Linked DNA regions of Arabidopsis thaliana. The protein of the gene in region 4 interacts with the protein of the main gene of each other region in a pairwise test. Each region holds a gene or a part of one and is shown on either strand. Other genes may lie near its edges.

What was found.
Region 1: the proteins of PEX7 (region 4) and PEX13 interact in a two-hybrid assay, tested with the Arabidopsis thaliana proteins (one study listed by BioGRID).
Region 2: the proteins of PEX7 (region 4) and PKT3 interact in binary tests that used the Arabidopsis thaliana proteins (3 or more experiments, as listed by UniProt).
Region 3: the proteins of PEX7 (region 4) and PKT4 interact in binary tests that used the Arabidopsis thaliana proteins (3 or more experiments, as listed by UniProt).

The regions. Positions count from the first base shown.
Region 1 is NC_003074.8:2,410,821-2,416,112, forward strand, and holds PEX13 (peroxin 13), read right to left. Parts: upstream 2,768-5,292; 5' UTR 2,491-2,767; coding exon 2,472-2,490; intron 1,975-2,471; coding exon 1,735-1,974; intron 1,655-1,734; coding exon 1,311-1,654; intron 1,205-1,310; coding exon 1,112-1,204; intron 1,015-1,111; coding exon 796-1,014; 3' UTR 501-795; downstream 1-500. Other genes in the region: AT3G07550 (RNI-like superfamily protein), read left to right, coding at 1-313; AT3G07565 (histone H2A deubiquitinase (DUF3755)), read left to right, coding at 3,003-3,241, 3,708-3,807, 3,943-4,005, 4,241-4,361, 4,452-4,561, 4,733-4,794, 4,941-5,052. UniProt on the Arabidopsis thaliana protein: Component of the PEX13-PEX14 docking complex, a translocon channel that specifically mediates the import of peroxisomal cargo proteins bound to PEX5 receptor.
Region 2 is NC_003071.7:14,046,390-14,053,189, forward strand, and holds PKT3 (peroxisomal 3-ketoacyl-CoA thiolase 3), read right to left. Parts: upstream 5,012-6,800; 5' UTR 4,595-5,011; coding exon 4,505-4,594; intron 4,093-4,504; coding exon 4,016-4,092; intron 3,908-4,015; coding exon 3,823-3,907; intron 3,741-3,822; coding exon 3,614-3,740; intron 3,525-3,613; coding exon 3,426-3,524; intron 3,353-3,425; coding exon 3,285-3,352; intron 3,205-3,284; coding exon 3,097-3,204; intron 3,008-3,096; coding exon 2,930-3,007; intron 2,813-2,929; coding exon 2,680-2,812; intron 2,586-2,679; coding exon 2,489-2,585; intron 2,322-2,488; coding exon 2,198-2,321; intron 2,106-2,197; coding exon 1,997-2,105; intron 1,710-1,996; coding exon 1,626-1,709; intron 1,535-1,625; coding exon 1,425-1,534; 3' UTR 1,089-1,424; downstream 1-1,088. Other genes in the region: RALFL18 (ralf-like 18), read right to left, coding at 132-443. UniProt on the Arabidopsis thaliana protein: Involved in long chain fatty-acid beta-oxidation prior to gluconeogenesis during germination and subsequent seedling growth. Confers sensitivity to 2,4-dichlorophenoxybutiric acid (2,4-DB).
Region 3 is NC_003070.9:1,319,525-1,325,340, reverse strand, and holds PKT4 (peroxisomal 3-ketoacyl-CoA thiolase 4), read right to left. Parts: upstream 3,457-5,816; 5' UTR 3,401-3,456; coding exon 3,323-3,400; intron 3,085-3,322; coding exon 3,020-3,084; intron 2,935-3,019; coding exon 2,850-2,934; intron 2,769-2,849; coding exon 2,642-2,768; intron 2,554-2,641; coding exon 2,455-2,553; intron 2,375-2,454; coding exon 2,307-2,374; intron 2,210-2,306; coding exon 2,102-2,209; intron 2,019-2,101; coding exon 1,941-2,018; intron 1,836-1,940; coding exon 1,703-1,835; intron 1,610-1,702; coding exon 1,513-1,609; intron 1,437-1,512; coding exon 1,313-1,436; intron 1,208-1,312; coding exon 1,099-1,207; intron 1,034-1,098; coding exon 950-1,033; intron 862-949; coding exon 785-861; 3' UTR 501-784; downstream 1-500. Other genes in the region: AT1G04700 (PB1 domain-containing protein tyrosine kinase), read right to left, coding at 4,688-4,863, 4,968-5,055, 5,131-5,253, 5,342-5,489, 5,573-5,736. UniProt on the Arabidopsis thaliana protein: Involved in fatty-acid beta-oxidation prior to gluconeogenesis during germination and subsequent seedling growth. Implicated in jasmonic acid (JA) biosynthesis.
Region 4 is NC_003070.9:10,222,469-10,226,950, forward strand, and holds PEX7 (peroxin 7), read left to right. Parts: upstream 1-2,346; 5' UTR 2,347-2,454; coding exon 2,455-3,408; 3' UTR 3,409-3,854; downstream 3,855-4,482. Other genes in the region: AT1G29250 (Alba DNA/RNA-binding protein), read right to left, coding at 993-1,088, 1,213-1,277, 1,378-1,440, 1,674-1,722, 2,005-2,124. UniProt on the Arabidopsis thaliana protein: Receptor required for the peroxisomal import of proteins containing a C-terminal PTS2-type peroxisomal targeting signal. Specifically binds to cargo proteins containing a PTS2 peroxisomal targeting signal in the cytosol.

The DNA.
Region 1 (5,292 bases), on a different chromosome or scaffold from region 4:
AGGTTGTCCATTGCTCCAAGAGTGGAACTTGGCTCTTTGTCATGAAGTTAAGATTTCGGGATGGGAAGCCGTAGGGAAGTGGTGCCGTAACTTGAAGAAACTCCATGTGAACCGTTGTAGGAACTTATGTGACCAAGGGTTGCTTGCTCTACGATGCGGTTGCATGAACCTCCAGATTCTCTACATGAACGGGAACGCGAGGCTGACCCCTACAGCAATTGAGATGTTCAGATTACATAGAGCCGATATAACACTAAGAACAGAAGAAATGATGGTCATAGGACCAGACTGGAGACTATATGCACAAGAATAAAAGCATCAATTTCTATCAACAGTACATGATTCTTTTAAGTTCGTTCATACGACATTTTTGGGACCAATGTGTTGGTCTTGTCTAGAGGCAAACTGCAAGAAAAGATGTATTCAAGAATAGGCTTCAAGTTGTTAATAAAGTATCAAAATCGTTTACTGGTCAACAGTGTTGTTTCAAATCCAGTAAAAGAGGAAGAGAATCGGATATTATAAATATATATCAATAGAAAGGTCTTTAACAAACACTTAAAACTTCACTTTCCATTTTGTAGAGTACGACATCTATCCTTTACCACACAATCAGAGAATACTGAGAGATAGAGAGAAGAGAAGAAGAGACTCAATTTGCAAACAAACATCTGGTTTTCGTACATCCCAATCTGTGTTGCAGGCTGCTACACGGTTTATCTTCTATCGGTAACCAACTGGTTGTCATGGTGTTTTAAAGCAATGTTGAAGGATTTGGGTAATGAAAGAAGTAACTTAGTTGCCCCATACATTGTCCCAACCACCGCCACCACCTGGTGCAGCAGTTTTAGGCCCCTCGAGGTAGTTCTGGTTTCCATGTGGCTGGTGTGGTAAAGGTAGCCCATTAGGCCCTTGTGGTGGCTGCTGCATCTTTCTAGGCCTTGTTCTCACCCCAAGCATACGCAGTACAAATCTTGCTAATTCTCCATATAACATACCACCACGATCAAATAGCTGAGGACAAATAAATGATTGGTTAACATGAGAACAATGAAATGGATCAAGGAACCAGTAAAATACGAGTTGGTAGAAGAAAAAAACAGGAAGGAACCTGAAGAAGGGCAGACATGAACATGTGAAAGGCCTGTGTGTTTTGATCTATAAGCATCGCTACACGGCCAAAGAAATTCACAGCACCTTGCATCTGTCATCAATCAAAACATGAACACTTTATGTTATACAGTACTACCTTATCATTATCAACTTCTTTTATTTCTTATACAAAATAAAGTATGAATAATGAACAATACCACACGGAGAAATGATATCCAGAAGCCTGGTGGAGATGGAGGTTGATTAAAAGGGTCATTTGGATCTTGACTACCATAAGGACCACCCATTCCCATTCCCATCCCCATTCCCATTCCCGTTCCCATACCCATACCATAACCACCCATCGTGCCACCATAACCACCCATCGCACCACCACCATACATGCCTGAACTTCCATAGAGCCCACCACCACCATAACCTCCTCTATACATGCTACTACCTCCATACATCCCACCACCATATGATGAACCATACCCACCTAATGCTGAACCATATGTACCTGACCCATACCCAGAGGTCATACCTAGATTTGAACCATAACCTGCCATTCATACAATAAAAGAACTAAGCTTTATGCAATCTCAGCAACCAAAAAATCTAAGATAACTTGAAAAAATATACCTCCCCCCATAGTGCTCCCATAATTCTGCTGTTCCCAAGGTCTAGCCGGTACAGGCCTACTGAGTGAATTCATATTAGCAGCTGTATTAGGCCTGTTCACGGGCGGAGGAACTACTTCACCAGGATTAGCTGTGCCAGAAGCCTCAACTGAACCAGCCGTGCTAGTATTAGAAGGAGGCCTGAAAGGATTAGGACCAGATGTATTTCCTTCTTTTTCCCAAGGTTTAGGAGGACTGCCACCTACAGCAGCAGTAAATTGAATTAATTATACGTTTAGTGACATGACAGATAGTATTCTGAAAATAAGACTAAACTTTAATCAGCACAGGCAAACACACACACTAAAGAGACTTGATGAAAGCAATTGTAAAGATGATTAGGAACAGTATCGGTAACACAAGTGAGGTTATGTGAAAACATCAAAGTAGAACTATGATGTAGAATAAGAAAAGGCATCAAATTGCAATCCAAAACGAAAGCATCTAATTGAATCAAGAAAATCTAAGGCCAATCAAAGCTAAGCGCAATCCAAAAGCTGATCTCATCAATTGATTACAACCCTAAATTAAAATCCAATTGTAGGTCGAAAGTTAATCAATTTCACAACTTTCAAATCAAACAACTCGACGGGTCTCATCGAACGTACCAAAATTGTAGAAGGAGAATTCAATAAATCGAGACCCTAAAATCTGAATCCTCAAAAAAAAAAAAAAAAAAAGAATTTCAATTGAGCTAACCTGCAGGCTGAGACGCCATATATCAAAGAGACGACGATTGGAGAGAGCTCTTGTTGGTAATCTCCGACGCCAACCTCAAGCGCGGAGAGAGAGAGATAGAGAGACAAGAGAGGTGGGATGAAGAAGACAGAGGAGAAGGGACCTCGAAAAGAGAGGAAAAAACAAAACAGATTACTTTCTTCTTTTAGGTTATTATGTATCAGCCCCTATAGTTATAATCCTTACCCAAAAAGCCTCTTAATTACTAAAATTGACGTATTTGACTCTCAAAAATAGAAAACCAAAATCCGAAAAAGGATAGAGATGAAATTATATGTTTATATTATTATAAGCAAAGATTCCATATTTCGAGGGAAGCAGAAGAAGAAGCTCAGTCGGCGGCCGGATTAATCTCCCCATCATCTCTCTCTCTCCCTCTCTCTGTTCCTATCCCGGCGAATTCATATCTGAATTTCCCAAAATTCAAACTTTTCCGGTGGAATTATTTTAGGAAACCAAGTGACTTCTTAAGCTCCAAAAATTGGGTATTTAATGGCGGCGAGCGCGAACCCGTCGGGGAACAATCAGGAAGGTTCGTCGGCGACGCAGAAGGTATCGTCTTCTTCAGCGGCGGCGGCGAATGGCGCTGCTGTGAATTCCGTCGATAATGGTGGAAATACAGGCGCGGCGGCGGATAATTCACAGACGATTGGCGCGTTGAGGCATAATCCAGGGATCTCTACCGATTGGACTCTTGAGGAACAATCTCTATTGGAAGATTTGCTTGTCAAGTAATCTTCTCGCTCTCTCTCTGTATGTTTAAGATTTGGATTTGCTGTTTTATCCAATGTTCTTTCTATCTGACTAGATGTGACTAGATGTAGTGAATTCTGCGATATGTTATTTTCCATGGCCTTTCAAGCATCATGTAGCTTGAATCGGAATATGTGTTGAGAATTGTTAGCTTTGGTCGGGTTTTTTGAATTATATCTGAGAAGAGAAACAGTGGTATTTGATTAGCTGATTGTGAGTTTTGGATGTGGTTTCAAGTATGGTAATAAATAAAATACTAGAAAAATGACTAGCTAGCTAGTGTGGTATCATATTTATGATAGGCTCATTAGTGTTAGAGCAATGTGAAAATTTTAGGATTTAATTAGAGGATGAGTTGTCTACTTATCTGTAATGACTGGTTGTAAATTTTTGTAGGAGCCTTGTTAAATCCTATCACTCTTTTAGTAATTAATCTTTATATAGGTACGCGACAGAACCGTCGGTTTTTCGATATGCGAAGATTGCTATGAAAATGAAAGATAAGACTGTTCGAGATGTTGCCCTGCGCTGTAGATGGATGACTGTAAGTTTCTTGATTTTGCTTAATCCGGCGACTTTTTCGTTGTTCTTGATTAACCTTCTTCGTGTATTGGCTTTATTGATTAGTAAGAATCAACTGACGGTTTTTCACCTCCATGTGGTTGCTGATGGATTGCAGAAAAAGGAAAACGGAAAGCGTAGGAAAGAAGATCATTCCTCGAGGAAAAGCAAAGATAAGAAAGTATGTGGATTTCAATCCTATTTGCTGCTACTTAGCAATTTCGATACTAGCAAGGCTAAGAAAGATATTTGAAGTACAAACCATAAATCAGCTTGATTGAATTCTAATGTGTAACTAGCTTGAACCTTTAGTCATTTACTTGTGAGTTTGGACGGATGAAAGTTCTTGTGTTGTCTTGTGGATCCATTTATAAGTCTACAAAAACTGATTGATTGTCTTTCACATATCTGTTTAGCAGGAAAAAGCTACAGATTCTTCAGCCAAGTCCTCATCTCATTTGAATGTTCATCCTAATGGTCCTTCTTATGCTCCGCCTATGATGCCTATCGATACTGATGATGGTATTTCATATAAAGGTTTGTCTAAGATTCTAGGCTTTTTCCATTTAAAGGCTAAATCTTCTAGATTGGATTAGAAGGAGCATAAGTGTTTCGGCTTTATTGCAGCTATTGGTGGTGTGAGTGGAGATCTTCTCGAGCAAAATGCTCAAATGTTCAATCAACTTTCAACAAATTTCTCAGCTTTCCAGGTGAATTCAACTTCCACTTTTCATCTTGTAAGTTTTGTATAATTCGCTGAGTTTTTTGGACTTGATTTGATTCTCTGCCTTGTGCTGTTGGCTTTTGAGCAATCCAGTGGTTTTATGATTGATTTTGTACTATATCAGCTTAAGTTTACGTTAGTTCTATCCAATTGTGTACTTATGAAAGATTCTTTCCCATTGCAGCTACATGAGAATGTCAATATCTTGTGCAAAGCTCGAGACAATATCCTTGCAATCTTGAACGAGTAATACATTTTCCCATATATCTATAGATCATTTCGATGTCATTGACTCACTTTGGGAAATGCCATTCTTTTCCAACAAAGTTTTCGAGCTATTATAGTGTATCAACTCAAATCTTAACGTGCTTTGCTGATTGAATGGATTGCAGCTTGAATGACATGCCAGAAGTTATGAAGCAGATGCCACCTCTTCCGGTGAAGTTGAATGAGGAGCTGGCAAATTCGATCCTCCCTCGCCCATCCCATCAAAGGAAGTCATGATCGAGGCGATAGATGGTTGGTTCTGACCAAGGAGTCTCTTTAATCCGGGATCAATGAAGAAAGGAATAAATCGCGGGATAGAGAGAGAGCTCCACTCGTACTGGTTGATAGAATGAGGGGTTTCCCCTGACTCATAGAGTTATAGTCTCTTTTTACAATTTCCGTCAGTCTCTGAATGTTTTAGCAAATGGTTAATTGATACATGAGTAGGGTCGCGTATCGTTGTTTAGGATGTGAATA
Region 2 (6,800 bases), on a different chromosome or scaffold from region 4:
ATAATGCCTCAAAGGCTTACAAATTGCAATAAAATATAATAATAAGAAATGTGATTGGAAATACTAATTAAAAATAAAATAAAACACACCAACGAAAGGAAGAAGAAGAAGAAGAGAGAGGTGGTTTATGTTTAATTTGTAAAGCGGTAACATCCTGTAGCGGCACTGCAACCACGTCGGTATTTGTTATCCGGTTTATCCGGTTTACCATCTGGTTTGGCTGGTAAGTTTTTCTTCAATGCTTCGTAATCTATAAATCTCTTAGCTTGAAGTATCCTATGGCTCACATCTACACCTGAACTCATCTTCATGATCTCTTCTTTTTCTCCACCGTCCATGCAATTGTCACATTTTACCGGACGAGATCCGACCACAAGCGCTGGAAGCAAAGCTGCCGAGATGATCATCACAGCGATGATCAAGAGCTTCATGTTATTCATCATCGAGACTTATCAAGAGAGTGTAAAGTTGAGAGTAGTAGTTGTTGTTTCGTTTACGTTGAAATGGTTTGTGATGAAACACTTGGTTAATCTACACTTTTATAGAGGTTAATTTTTTTTGTAGAGGTTCATCGAATATTTGACCAGATTCTTACTCGAAAAAGAAAATCAAAATTACTCCGTCAAATTCATGGAATAAGAAATGAATACGGTGCCCAAAAAAGATGAACCTACACAAATAAATGATTCAGTGGATTTGTTTTGCTCTGTATAGTGATCAAAGTCGGTCAATTCGCATAATTAATTGGTCAAAGCCTCAATAATGATTTCCATATATGATAACATTGATGGCTCGTTTTTAACACAAAACTGAGGGGATGCATTGGAACATGATTATAACGTCTTATACTGCCGTTATAACGTCTCCGGTATCAAAGACAAGATACTATAACGAAAAGAAAAAAAAATACTAGAAGGAACGTTATATAAATAGCTATGAGAAAATAAAATTATGGGGTGAGAGAGGCTCGAACTCTCGACCTCAGGATCACTCAGTAGCTATGAGACCTACGCGCTAGCCAACTGCGCCACCACCCCAACTGTTACTATTAACACTGTTTTAGTTAATGAAATTCAAGGTAAAATCATGAAACACAAACAAAAGGCAGAACCCTTGACTTTATGAACGTTTGACTTATCCATCGAAATATAGAAATGGCTGCCACCCAAAAAATCTAAAATTTCTAGAAGCAACAACTGATGAAATTCGAGAAGAACAATATTCTTACATATAAAAGATTTAAAGATTATCCCCCTTCACTTAAAAAAAATACTAAACACATGACCTGGTCAAGAACAACACAAGACTCAGGCAAACATTGGTTGTGTGCTTTATTCGAAACTATAATAATATCTGAAGAAAGTGACAAGAAGACCAGAAAAGAGAGAGGTGAGGTGAAAAACGGTTTTGGTGCATGGTCCTCTCTAGCGAGCGTCCTTGGACAAAAGACCTTGCGCTTCAACTTTCCTTGCGTTGCGAAGCTCATCAACTCCATCTCCTCTCTCAAACACAGCTGCTGCACCCATCCCCGTCCCTGCCAGAGTTTACCAAATCAGTAAAACCATCCCTCAGACACATATTTCAGACACCAAATTCACAATGAATTATTCGAGTGAGAAGCATACCAATGCACATTGACACTACTCCAAAACGGCAGTCTTTACCACGGCGTTTCATCTCGTGCAACAATGTAGCAACACAACGCGCTCCTGTGAGAGTTTTAACAAGTATTAGCAACTGTTCATGAGCGTTTTATAATTATATAGACACAATGTAGACATTGATATGCTTTGAAAAGGACGGACTGCGGCAAGATAGAGCTCTTGTAAGTTGGTTAAAGAACCATTAGTGAGGACAGAGTTTATAAAGATATATCTCGGCTGTGGATTTCTTAAGGTTTGGTTGAGAGTTGAGAGATTCTCATTAATTCAAGTCTCTATGGTTTGGTAAATTGGAACAAGCTTAACAGTTTTAGTCCTGTTCTTAACAGATATACCTGTAGCGCCCAAAGGATGGCCTATGGCCATTGCACCTCCGTTGACATTGATTTTCTCTGGGTCAAGTCCCAATTTGTTACGGCAATAAACAAACTGAGATGCAAATGCCTGAACACACAAGGATTCAAACAGATGGTCATCATCAGAATGTGCGGGAAGAGATATGTGATAAGAAGATCATGAAATTGTTTGCTATATACCTCATTGATCTCAAACAAGTCGATGTCATCAAGTTCTAAACCAGCCGCCTTAACTGCAGCAGGAATGGCAACTGCTGGACCGATACCCATGATTGCAGGGTCAACACCAACTGCAGCAAATGTCCTGCAATATGTCCAATAGTGTGCTACTTAGAAAAAGCCAAATACAGAAAGAACAATGTATTTTCCACGTATACTAGCATATCTGTGTAAATGGAAATCACAAGCCTCTGCAGTTTTTTCGGTTTTCAGACTTCCACAGTCGTAGCTTTGTAAGTAATTATTACCCACCTGAATACACCAAGAACGGGAAGTCCTTTTTGCATTGCAACACTTCTCTTCATTAGGAGAACCGCTCCTGCACCATCACTTACTTGGCTGGAATTTCCTGTTTGCGACAGAACAAATGAAGCAATGGATTTAAAATTGTGATAATAAGAACTGTGGTTTCCATAATGAAACAATTGATTCGGGAAAAGTACCAGCAGTAGTGGTGCCATCCTTCTTAAACACTGGCTTCAGCTTCCCAAGAGAAGCAAGAGTTGTGGTTGGTCGGATACCATCATCAACAGAAACTGTAATGGGTTTCTCATCACCAGTCTTCGGGTCAACAAGCTGAAATTTAAAACACACGTTATTGACTAATACTAGAACATGAATGAAGTTCAGTAACTAATCCACCAAGAGAAGTCTTAAATGTTACAGTTATTGTATGAAGGATCTGAAAAATACCTTGGTCTTAACAGGAATGATCTCATCCTTGAATTTACCAGCAGCAGTAGCAGCAGCTGCCTTTCTGTGCGAGTCAACCTAGCAATATGACTCCATAGCTTAGCATAGCGATCAAAGTTATAGGTTATTTAAAATACAACCATACTGAAAAAGTTCAGTTCCCTTACAGCAGCTTGATCTTGCTCCTGCCTTGAGACACCAAAGCGTTGTGCTACATTTTCTGACGTAACACCCATAGGAAGAAGACAATTCTGCGCTTGTGCAAACTTCTTCACCTGAAATAACATAGTCCGTATTATAGTACGTATTAAAATAACAGAGCCAAGTAAGACTCCAGATAAGAGAGAATCAGTACCGCTGGGTTGACTGACCCTTCCCATGCCATTGGATTGGTAGTCATGGACTCCAAACCAGCCCCGATACCTGCATCCATCATATCGTCAGCTCGGTTCTCTATGAAAAAATGTGGCGTAGTTAAAGACGGTTATTCACTAACCAATGTCATAAAATCCCGCTTTAATGGCAGCGGCTACATCAGCAACAGCCTGAAGCCCAGATGAGCACTGTCTATTCACAGTTCTGACAGCCACGGTTTCTGCAAATGAACATAACAGGATGAGCATACAGGAAATAAAAACAAAGACTTTTCACCATTGTATTGTACTGTACATAGAAGAAACATACCAGGGAAACCAGCATAGAACGCAGCCATCCTGCATTCACTGGCTCTCTGAGATCCAGGTGCCAAAACAGTACCCACAACAATGTCACCTACTTCACTTGGGTTTAGATTCGTCTTCTCTATCAATGCCTATGTCAAGGAAGAACTATCTATAAATAGACGTAGAAAGGAAATAAAAACCAACAACAGAATAGAAAAGATAGCGACAGACCCTCAAAACAGGTGCGAGCAAATCATCGGGATATGTATCCTTGAAATTGCCACGTTTGGACTTGCATAGTGGAGTCCTATGTGCCCTGCAATGGATCAATAAGTGTAAGTCTATCAGAAAGAGACGAGAAATCTTCATACGTTGCTGAAAAACCAAATACCAAAAGAGTAAAAGCATAAGAGATGGGACTTACGCGACAATGACAACATCATCTCCATAGAGAGAGGTCCTCTGATATGCAGCACTGTCCCCAGCCAAGCAAGCAGAAGCCTGGGAATTTGGAAAGAACACGTTAAAGAGATCACACGTAGTAATTGAAATCAAGCTTTGACTTTTAAGAAATCATCAGTACATGCAGAGCACGGATAATTCAACCCAATCGAACAAAAATCAAACAACAACAAAAAAAAAAAAGATATCTATCTCAATCCAGTGAACGAAATACAAAAACAAAATCCAAGTCTTGAATTTGATCTCAATCGAGCTGAAACTTAAAATTTTCAGCTCACAGGCACGCCTCGAATCAAATTATAATTCAGCATCAAAATCAAAATCGAAAATTCCATATAATGAATCCAGATCAACAACGATCCATAATCCCCAGACTGCAAACACAAGAGAAGACAACCAAAAGATCGCGATAGATCGAGAGAGAGAGAGTGTGTGGTGATAGAATGCTTACAGATAGAGAAGCCTCGTAATTGTGCGAAGAAGAAGAAGAAGGTCGGAGATGCTCAAGAAGAACGCGTTGTCTCTCGATCGCTTTCTCCATTTTTTCCGGCTGATTAAAGATAAAATTCGGATCTGTTGTTTTTTCTCAGAGAAGGATTTGTTCTACACGAAAACTCACAGTCCTCGGGTTTGTGATCATTTATAAGGTAAGATGACTCACCGCTTTGCCCGTTCCGGGTAAATGATAATCCCAAAATAAGTAAGAATAAAAAATATCTCTTTTTCGTAATATTTCTTTGCTTAAACGACCAAAAAATATCATCTGTGACAGCGATACAAGTTCTTATCCTATAGTTGTAAAATCCAAATCAAACAGTTTTTAGCCTAATGACCTTACTCTAATTATGAATTAAAATGTTCACACTGGTTTGGTGATTGTTAATAGTGTGAAATAATTGATGATGAGAGTCATAGTCATAGATAAGCTGAGAGTGTGATAGAAGAAGATAAGATTAGGCGTGACGTTTGCCCCCGCCCGTTTTGGGCTTTGAAATGCGTGCCGTGTTTTTCATTTCCATCTTCTGGATCTTAATCTTCTTCATATTTACATAATAACCCCAACTATTTGTATTACTTCTATTTACGCCTTAAAGTTGCTATTAATTCTAAAAGTACCCTTCTTGAGACTTGATCGCTATTTTCTTTTTACGTTTTACCAACGTAAAGTTAAAGCCCATATGGTGTGATAGTTTGCAATACTATGGGCTCGGCCGGTTTAAACGAAATAAGAACGGATATTGTATAATAGTGAAAACTACATTTTCAATTAATAATGTTATTATGCGATTGACAAGCAGATGCAATAGTGTTTGAATAAAATTTTTATCAATATGAACTTTACTTAGGCATATATATTACCAATAATGACAATATGGCACTGCAACAATGCACATCTGCGTAAGGTTAGCATGTCAAGATCTCTTACACGCCGTGATACCAAATTTATATCGACTTGCAAATATGGGAGATTAAAGCTCTCTTTACTCAATTTTACTCAATCTTACAAACATTTGTGTGGTACTTTCCGGAAGTTTTCCGACATGTAATATTGAAATTAGATCGTGTAGAGAGTTATCAAATAACAAAAAAACTCGAGAAACTTTGTAGTTTTGTTATGTATCAGACTAGAAATTAACTCTAACTGAATGGAGAGATTAACATTGAAGAGGAAGAAACAAAACTGTACGTGATCAGCTTTACATTGTGCTTGTCTATCTTTACATTGTGATTATTGTAATATCGCCCTAATATTTTCGCATATAGTTGTCCATTTAACCTATTAGAGTGAAACATCTATATATTAATACTTGTCAATTTAATAATCATTGTAAATTAATAAACTTTTCCGGTTCAAAGTTGGACGAATATAATATATAACGTAATTGGATAAAAATGTTATTTGTTTTTCTTTGAATTTGTTTTAATTTTTGTGAAAAAGTCATTTTCAATATTTTTACTACATCTAAAAATTAACACTTATATAAATCAATAAAATATTTTATTCCCCATGTTATTAATTTATAATTTTATTTTACTGTATTAGCTCTTACATGCAACATCATAGACTTCAGTTTTATTTCTAACAAGATTATTTAATCTTAAACATCTATCCAATGTCTAATTTTTGTGAAACAATATAATATCTTATCAACTTTAGTTTTCAATCTTATCTTTTTATCTAATATACTTTGAGTTGGCAAACAAATCCTATGCAAAGAAGAGACGAAATTATTGAAAATGTTAATTTTCTTACTTAACCATACTAAATATCTTTATTCTATCATTTACTATATTCGTTATATTAACATATCTATGTTTTTTGTAAAGACAAAATGTTAACCAATAAATTTTACATTTTTAATAATTTTGTTTCTTCTCTGTATATATATTTTTTCCTGACTCAAAATTAAATGAGATAAAAAGATAATTGAATCTCTTATATATGATTTTAGGGTAAACATTCCCATATCTTATTCTTTTATATTATCTTTTTTTAATAACAAATACACATGTAAACTGTAAAGTATACATTTCTTATCTATATGAATGAAGTATAAATTTATTTAACACATACAAATTTAATAAATCATAAAAAATACCACGTGGAACTGTAATGTATAATGTAATGTGACACAATATACAGTCAAAACATTCCAACTTATACAGATTTATATAGATTCAAGCGGATATGCAAAAAGAAGTAGAAAAAGAATGAATCCTACATTTATTTCATAATTTATTAGTAG
Region 3 (5,816 bases), 8.9 Mb from region 4:
AGTTACATACTAAGCTTTAATCTGATTTATGACAATGTTTGCATATGCTAAGAAAAGCCAAGTAAGAGAGAAAATGAATTGTGTAAATACCCACTGTTTTTTTCGTTGGAAATCTTGTTTACTATATATTTTACACAATACAACATATATGTCATTGACAGTAAACCTAAACCCCATGCTTGATATATCTTCGAGGGATAAACTTTCTAATGACTAGTGTAGTTGCATTGCATTCTATCAGCAATATCTTTATCTTTCAATGCATTTGAATGTAGACTATGTAGTAGAAGAATTGGTCGAACTCCAAAATCAGTTTGAGAAATAAAAAGAATTTGGGGTGAGAGAGGCTCGAACTCTCGACCTCAGGATCACTCTGTAGCTATGAGACCTACGCGCTAGCCAACTGCGCCACCACCCCTTTTTGTGATATTGTCACAAGGGTTAATAATTGATTCTTCGTTTCGATAAAAGACACTTGTAATCTACATTTCCTTTTTGATTTAATCATTACTATGCAACGTGATTCAATAATATAGTTCTACAATTGTGTACATACATATGACAAACCAAATAGATTATGATATGTTCTCAAAGAGTATCTGTATATATTCCAACCATATAACAAAAGAGAGTTAAAAAATAACAAGAAGTTTTCCCTCATGTATTGTACTATCGTTATGATTTATTCATCTAGAACGCATTTATTTGTGATAATGTTTATTTGTAGTACTGTGTTCTAATTTGGTCCTTAGCTAGGGTCCTTGGTCAAAAGGCCTTATTGTCATTAGACTTTCCGGACATCACAGAGCTCATCCACACCGCCTCCTCTCTCAAACACAGCGGCTGCTCCCATTCCCGAACCTGTGCGGTTTCCCAGTCACAGTGAGAGTGTTAGTGTGTACGAGAGAGTGGGAGTCAAAAGGAGAGTGAGAGTGAACATATTACATACCTATACACATTGACACTACGCCAAAACGACAGTCTTTACCACGTCGTTTCATCTCATGCAGCAGCGTCGCAACGCATCTGGCTCCTGAGAATGTGTAGTTGTTAGATGAGGAAGGAAATTAATGATATGTGAACAAAGAGGAAGCATACCTGTAGCGCCCAAGGGATGTCCAATGGCTATGGCTCCTCCATTGACATTGATCTTTTCCGCGTCTAGCCCGAGCTTGTTCCGACAATAAACAAACTGAGATGCAAATGCCTGAACACACAGTAGGATTTTAGACAAAGAATATAAGGCCTATAAGTAATAGACTATGAGCTGGAGTAAATGTAAAGGAAGAAGAGTTGTTCTATTATCTTAAACCTCGTTAATCTCAAACAAGTCGACGTCATTGAGTTCTAAACCAGCTGCCTTGACTGCAGCAGGAATGGCAACGGCTGGCCCAACCCCCATGATGGCTGGGTCCACACCAACTGCAGAAAATGTCCTGTAATGTGTCCAAGAGTGCTGTTACTAAATGAAGCAAAGAAAGGTCAATATAGAGTATCAACTATCAAGCCCACCTGAATACACCAAGAATGGGAAGGCCTTTCTGCATTGCGACATTTCTCCTCATAAGGAGAACAGCTCCAGCACCGTCACTTAATTGGCTAGAATTCCCTGTTTGACACAAAGGAAACAAGGGATTTGGGAAAAAGATGGATCAAACAAACATTTTTCTCTGAAAATGACCAATTAATCTGGGGAAAGTACCAGCAGTTGTGGTTCCGTCTTCCTTAAACACTGGCTTCAGCTTTGCAAGTCCGGAAAGGGTTGTGTTAGGTCGAATCCCATCATCCACAGAAACTGTTATGGGTTTCTCATCACCTGTCTTTGGGTCAACAATCTGAAATGTAAAAACAAAATTCATTAAATTGGGTAAAGAGCACTTGATGCATCCTGAAGAATCTAACATGTTCACAGTTGTTGCAAGGTGGAAAACAGCATGTACCTTGGTTTTTACAGGGGTTATCTCATCCTTAAACTTTCCGGAAGCAGTAGCAGAAGCAGCCTTTCTGTGAGAATCAACCTACACATTTGACTCGATAAACTAAGGGATGGAGGGCAATATCGAATACATGCATTAGAACTAAGAATGCTTATTTGACTTACAGCAGCTTGATCCTGCTCCTCCCTTGAAACATTAAACCGGTGTGCTACATTTTCTGAAGTAATACCCATTGGAAGAAGGCAATTGTGAGCTTGTTCAAACTTCTTCACCTAAAACAACAGAATACGTTCTATGAGAGCTAATCATTCAACAGAGCCAATCAATACACTCCGGGAAGGAAGGAGAGAGACAATAAGAGCATGGTACATTTGGGTTGACTGATCCTTTCCATCCCCTTGGATTAGTTGTCATGGACTCCAGCCCAGCTCCAATACCTGTATTCAACGTAATTTCAGCTCAATTCTTCATGCCAAGATAAGACAATTTATGTAACCAAAGATAGTTACTATCTTACCAATGTCATAAAAACCAGCTTTTATGGCAGCGGCAACATCAGCAACAGCCTGAAGCCCAGATGAACACTGTCTGTTCACGGTTCTGATGGGAACAGTTTCTTCCAACAGACAAAAAGAGCATAAGCATACAACAAACGAAAAAGAAGAAAAGATTCAGGATTACCATAATACAGAAGAAAATATTACCGGGGAAACCAGCATAGAACGCAGCCATCCTGCATTCACTGGCTCTCTGAGATCCTGGTCCCAAAACAGTACCCACTACAATGTCACCAACTTCACTTGGGTTTACATTAGTTTTCTCTATCAATGCCTAGCAAGAAGAAGCACACATAAGTGCAAATTGGAAAAAGGGGAAGCCAAAAAACAGGAAACAGAACTGAACAAGACATACTCTCAATACAGAGGCAAGCAACTCGTCTGGAAATGTATCCTTGAAGCTGCCACGTTTTGCCTTGCAAAGTGCAGTCCTTTGTGCCCTGTGAATCACAAGAAGCATAGAAAAAGGTTCAACAAGTTTCCATAAAGTCTTGCACAATATCAAAAGAAGAAGAGAAACTTAACGCGACAATGACAACATCATCTCCATATTGATATGCAGCACTGTCTTTGGACAAGCAAGCTGAGGCCTTGTGAGGTAGCAACACAAACAGTAAGAGATACATTGTAATTCAAAAACAATTCCTATACCAAGATATTACTAATAATTCAAAAAAAAAAAAAACATCGAACAAGAGCCAACCGAAATCAGCCTTGAGAGTTATGGTTTCAGTAATAAATTCGTAATCACATGCAAACAATTGAGAGCAATTAGCGAGGGGAAATTGGAAACAGAAGATTCGAAATCAAAGCATCGGAAGAGCTTACAGAGAGAGAGGCGTCGGAAGATGACGAAGGTTGAAGATGACGAAGCAGTATCCTTTGTCTCTCCGTTGCTTTTTCCATTGTTTTCGTTTGATTATTTTGAAGCCCAAACTGGGCTAAACCGTTCGTTGTAAAGCAGATAAAAGACAAAGGAAAAAAAAAACTAAACCGCTTCATCCCGGTTTAGGATGGGTTACATACATATACGGTTTCAGGGTTTAGCGGAATCAATCATCTGGTTTTGATGCTAAACGACGTCGTATAGAGTAAGATGTCTTTCTTTCTCTCTCAGAAAAACTCGACAGTCATTTCTTCGACGGCACGTTTCTCTTATGAATTAACCCTAAAAACGCCGTCTTAGTCTCTCTTCGAGCCTACTTTCAAATTCGAAACTTTCGTTCATCTGTTCTCTACGTAAGTCTTTGCTTTCTTCTTTTCCCTGCTGTTGTTGTTTCTTTTTGGTTTTTCTTCTCAATGTTTATGGAGAATTTTTCGTTTTTGATTTCCATGGATTATGAGTTGTTACTTATTAAGTTTGGTGCTTTGGTCTGTTTCTCATTGGCATAATCTGTGATTAGTATCTCATAATCAATTGTAGTAATCATTTAGTTACATATGCTTTATGATTAAGCTGTAACAGTTTTGTTGGAATTTCATATGTCCATGTTTTTCAATTCCAATAATTTAACATTGAAACAAACAAAGAGCAGCTCAAATGGTCAAACTAAATCGAGAATCCTGAGTTGGCGAATAGAATGGGAGCTGATGTCGTATCAAGTCCTAAAGAAGATTGAGATCCATCTGCTTAGCGATAAATAAGTAAACATGGGCCAAGTTAGTGAAACTTTCGATCTATAAAATTTGCTTTGGGCTTGTATATTTATGCTACCACGACATGAGGTGGTACTATATAGGTCAGGGCTGATTATTCTACAAGATAGATTACAATTTACTTAAACGGTCTCGTTAGCGCGTTTGAGAACAACATGATTAACGTTGAAGAGCGCGTTTCATAAATTGCTGGATTTGAAATAATTTGAGAAGATGAGTTAAGTGAGGCGCGTTTGAGAACAACAATGGAGAACGTTGCAATTTATGGGCTGAGTTTTAATGGGTTGGGCTTATTACTCCAACATATTGCTTTACATAAAAAAAAGTTGTGTTTTTTTACACAATTGACCCTCAACTTTCTTGGTATACAACTTTTACCTAAACCGGTAAATGCTTCTCAATACTAATTTACAGACTCCACACAATCTCATAAATCTATATTCTTCCCATCTTCTGCTTTCATTCAACCAATAAATTTAAAACCAACCCAAAAAAAGGCTCATGTATCTCACAACTTACGTTTATTTGAGAGGGCTTTTAGGTTCTTCGCTTGGGTTGCAAGGCAACAGTCATTGATCGAAGTCGTTCAACAATCTCCGTAAACGATGGCCGTACTCCTGGATCGAATGACCAGCATTGCTCCATCAACTTCCTCCACTCAGCTTCACACCGTTCAGGCACCGGAGGTCTTAACGTATTGTTCACAATTCCACCTTTTTATCAAAACCAAACAGATCAAAAATTAGATCATAAACCAAAGCTCAATCCAAGTTCATCTTGTTCAAAGACTGAAGAACTGCTCATGCTAGAAACTTACCAATGATGGCACCGCAATGCAGATTCGCATAGGGTTCTTCGCCTGTCAAGATCTCCCACATCACGATACCAAATGAGAAAACATCGACCTGCAAAAACATGTTAAGATTAAAACAAAGACTCTTAACATTTTCAATGTTTTGATTTTGGACTCAACAACATACTTTCTCTGAGACCCGATTGCTGCTTCCGTTTAGCAGCTCTGGTGCCATCCATGGAAGGGTTCCTCTTACTCCACCAGAGACAAGCGTGTTTCGTTTTATTCTCGACAATCCGAAATCTCCAACCTGCAAATTCAACAGTGAGACTAATAAATACAGCACTTTACTCATACAACTTGGCTTGAAATTACCTGATTTTGGGGAAAAGTGTTACCTTGCAAATGGGTCGTTGTGGATCCCTCAAGTTTACAAGCAAGTTATCGCATTTAAGATCAAAATGAACAATATTTTTCATATGTAGATACTCCATGCCAAATGCAGAATCAAGAGTTATCATCAGTTTTTTGCGCCTATCAAGTAATCTGTGCCCAAAGTTTTTCCATCAGTAAACTCAGAATGTCATATCACAAAAGGTCATACAAAGATTTGACAGATTATTGTGTACCTGTCTTTTCTCTGCAAGACATGCCTCAAAGATCCGTTCACCATATACTCAGTCACTGTTGCCATTGTTCCACCAGGTCCATCTGGTACAACTCCATAAAAGGCCACTACGTTAGGATGGTGAAGATTCGCCAATATCCGAGCTTCTCTCCAGAAATCTTTAGTCTGTTTCAGTAAGGCATCAGTGAAAACTGCGGTTCTGAAATTCCCTTCAAAAGTACAAAGACTCGAGAGAAGAGTTAAAC
Region 4 (4,482 bases):
TAGTTGTGTTAGAGGAGAAAAGAGATTGATAAATATGTAGAGGACATGAAGATAAAGGGTGAGAGTGATATTTTGATCTTGAAAAAAATAATTATGGAGTAACTGATAAGTGATCATGGACAAAAATGAAATTAAGAGAATGATTTTCCATTCATTTAATTTGTTTAGATAACTTCATCTTCTTCTTTTTCTTCATTCTCTTAATTTCAACTTTGTCCATTATCATTCAATCCAATCACTCATCAATCAATTAGCCTTGACTAATTGTACAGACATAATAATTAAATCAGTAAAAGTCAAAAGCTATTATCATCAAGCAATGGAATCCCATCCCAGACTGCAATTAACAAATGGCAATTGAGAGTTTAACAGAATTTGACAACTTCTTTTTGTTTTTCTAATTGACAACTTTTTATTTGGTCAAATCCTATTGAACTATAATATACTATTATTATAGTTTATTGGTGCTAAGAATGTGAACCAAAGTGATTAGTTAGCAAGTAATAACCTTATTGCACACTATAATACTTTCTTATATTTCTTCTAGTATGGTTACGTTTTAGTGTTAAACTAAAAGAACTGACAAAAAGAAAAAAATTAGATATAGCCATTAGTTATAACTTATAGCTCATGATGTCACATATGTATCATGTGGCTTACATTTGTTCAATTATCCCAGAGATAGTGATTTGTTATCCATAAGCCATATCACTAACCTTTTTTATGGACAGATTCCAAGTCTTCAAAATAAAATTTCAACTACATGTATTACTCTACATAATAAGGTTGGAAGCTGATTTATGCAACGAAGCCATCTTTTTTATACTTCCTACGATCTTTAAATAAAAATGCTCAGAGGTACAGAGGACACAATCCAAGGTGAAATAAAAAAGTGAACCAAAAATTAACGAAATAGAAGTGTCTTAAAATTAAGCAGATAGAGATAGGGAACGAAGAAATAAGATCGTTGAACAGAAAAAACTTGAAACAATCTAGTTTTGCTCTTGGGCTTCTGCAGCCTCCTTCTCTTCATTAGCTGCAGCCATTAGTTCATCAAACTTCTCAGACTTGGCAAGCGTGATCTCAATCTACAAGTCACAGTGTCACCAATTTAGCAACCAACATAGCAATTTCCCAGAGAACAAAAATCATTAGACGGAAGCTAGAATTCCACAGCATAAGCAATTTATCAAATGATTCGAAAATATATACCTTAGCTTTCTGCACAGGACGACCCCTTGAATCATCCTTGATATCCACAGTCGATGTCATGATCTCTGCAGGAAAAAACAATATCCAAATAAGCAAAACTTAGTCACTGAATCTTTCAAATCTCTTGTGCTAACATTAACTCATTCAAGATTAAGAAGATCTTACTCTTTTCAACAGCAAAGCCATTGTTCTTCAATATCTCAGCGACCGTAACAACAGTGGCAATAGCTGCACAACGCACAAATCAATGTTTTATGAGAAACCAGAATAAACTCTTCCAATAAAGAAAGCTCGGATAAGATATTACAAAATCACAGAAGATAAAAGATTCTATGTCATAACAATAAAAGGAAACAGCTTTTCTGATAATAACTTTGAATTTAATGAACTCAGTTACATAGTTTAAAAACCATACATATTAGATTTGATATATAAACAAGATCATAAAGAATAAACATTACCCATTCCTAGTGCAGACAATTCGACATCAGTGTACTGCTGCATGTACCTCTGTTAACAAAACACCAAACATGGTCAATAACATAAACAGGTTTAATCAAATCTAAAGAGCAAAACAAAGTTCACAAATCTAAGGAACAAACATTGATAAAGAGTCACATAAACAACACAGAACCACCAGTAATAACTCATCAAAGTCAATAACAGATAAATTAACACTCATGAACAATCACAGACATTTCCAGACTTGGTACTCAAATAAGAACACTTCGAATCCATAGATTTCAATCTAAATACGAATTTATTAAGATTCGATTAAAAGGGTTTCGTTACCTTGGCGAGATTGACGTAGAAGAACAATGGTTTCTTAGTGTTGGAAACTTGAATCCGATTCTTCTTCTGGGTATCAACAGCCAAGTTCATGTTGTTAACTCCTTCCGTGATCTCTTCCATTGAATCTAACTCAGAAAAATTAAAACTTCTCCTCTCGAATTTAGATTTCTCTCTCACTTTTATCTCAGAAAACGAATGAAATTGAAGAGACAGAGAGACGACGATGAAGCTTGAACCAAACCCCCAAAAAACCCTAACTTGAAATGCCAAACGACATCGTTTTAACACAACCTACACAAATGGGCTAGGCTCCAGCCCAATAGGCCCAATTGGGGGGAAAATTAATTCTGCGATGAGCAAAATCGGCGTTATCCGATCAGATCGTTGAATTGAATCTTCGAGAAGACTCTTCTTTTGATTCAATCACTCACCGGAGAAGAAGAAGAAGCTATGCCGGTGTTCAAAGCTCCGTTCAATGGCTACTCTGTGAAATTCAGTCCATTCTACGAGTCACGCCTCGCCGTCGCTACAGCTCAGAACTTCGGAATTCTCGGAAACGGCCGAATCCATGTCCTCGAGCTCGCTCCTGGAGCTCCAGGCGTAACTGAATCCGTCTCGTACGATACAGCCGACGCTGTATACGACGTATGTTGGTCAGAATCTCATGACTCTGTGCTCATCGCCGCAATTGGTGACGGCTCAGTGAAGATTTACGACACAGCTCTTCCTCCTCCTTCTAATCCGATTAGATCATTCCAAGAGCACGCGCGTGAGGTTCAATCTGTGGATTACAATCCCACGCGGCGCGATTCGTTTCTCACTTCTTCGTGGGATGATACGGTTAAGCTTTGGGCTATGGATCGTCCGGCGAGTGTAAGGACTTTTAAGGAACATGCTTATTGCGTTTATCAAGCAGTTTGGAATCCTAAACATGGTGATGTGTTTGCTTCTGCTTCTGGAGATTGTACTTTAAGGATTTGGGATGTTAGAGAACCTGGATCAACTATGATCATCCCTGCTCATGATTTTGAGATTTTGTCTTGTGATTGGAATAAGTATGATGATTGTATTTTAGCTACTTCTTCAGTGGATAAGACAGTTAAGGTTTGGGATGTTAGGAGTTATAGAGTTCCTTTGGCTGTGCTTAATGGTCATGGATATGCGGTGAGGAAGGTGAAATTCTCGCCGCATAGGAGGAGTTTGATAGCTTCTTGCTCTTATGATATGAGTGTTTGTCTTTGGGACTATATGGTGGAAGATGCTTTGGTTGGTAGGTATGATCATCATACAGAGTTTGCTGTTGGGATCGATATGAGTGTTCTTGTTGAAGGTTTAATGGCGAGTACTGGTTGGGATGAGCTTGTTTATGTTTGGCAGCAAGGGATGGATCCTAGAGCCAGTTGATTCATAAGTAAGTTTGTGATTGCAAAACAGTTTCATCTTTATTTGTTGTGGAATTGGTTTGGTTTTTGTTAAAGGAATGTAGTTGGAATAAAGTTGGGATCTTGCTTAAGAAGAAATGTAAGTTACTGAGAGTTTCACATATGAACAAGGTTATCTTTCGAATTGTGATTGATGGTAATAGTAGATAGATTGCTTATGTTCTAGTGTATATGTTAACCTGTTACAATGAGACCTGATTAACATATATATTAGGACTAAGATATATGTTAATCTTCTATAATGTCCAAAGTAATGACATAATATATATAAAGTCAATTACTTTAGGGTAATGTACCTTTTATAGTATACTGTAGAATTCGAATTTTGTTCTTTTTCATAGTTGATTGACTTTATTGAGTGGCATAAATGTACATATTTATAACTTTCTAGAGCATATTGCAGTTTCGAGCTTTTGCATTTTATGCGTCTTCAGGTAGAAGCTTATTAAAATCACAAGAACATTCTTACGGATCTTCCATTTCAAGAATCACTTTCTACTTATTACTTTACTATTATACCACTCTCTTTTTTATCTTATTCCATAGTATTAAAGATTCTTTTATTTTCTTATGATTTTTTTTTTAATATAGTACTCCGATCCCAAACAAAAGATCTCAAAACACATTTTGTCAAGTCACAAGACTCACAACCGTCTCAACTTTTGGACTAAATTCAAATCAGACAAATAATTGGGTTAAACATATGAAAGGGCTTGACATTATATCATATAGTATTAAAGTGAACTATAATATTGCTTTATCCACGAGGTCAAGAACATACTATATGTAATAGACACACATTAGTATTGACTTTTTATGTTAAAACTAGAGATTAAATTTTGTGAATTTAAATGACACATGTACGATCTTTTACTTTTGTTGTGATGCACGCGGAAGATGTTGCGAAGGATTAGAAATTGTTAAAAGAGAAGAAGGTGGTAGACTGCTCTTCATTTAGGAATATTTCTGACCATAAAACTTGTGGCATGGAAGATTATTCCTAAGAAATTATACGAAGAAGAGATCATTGTCGGAA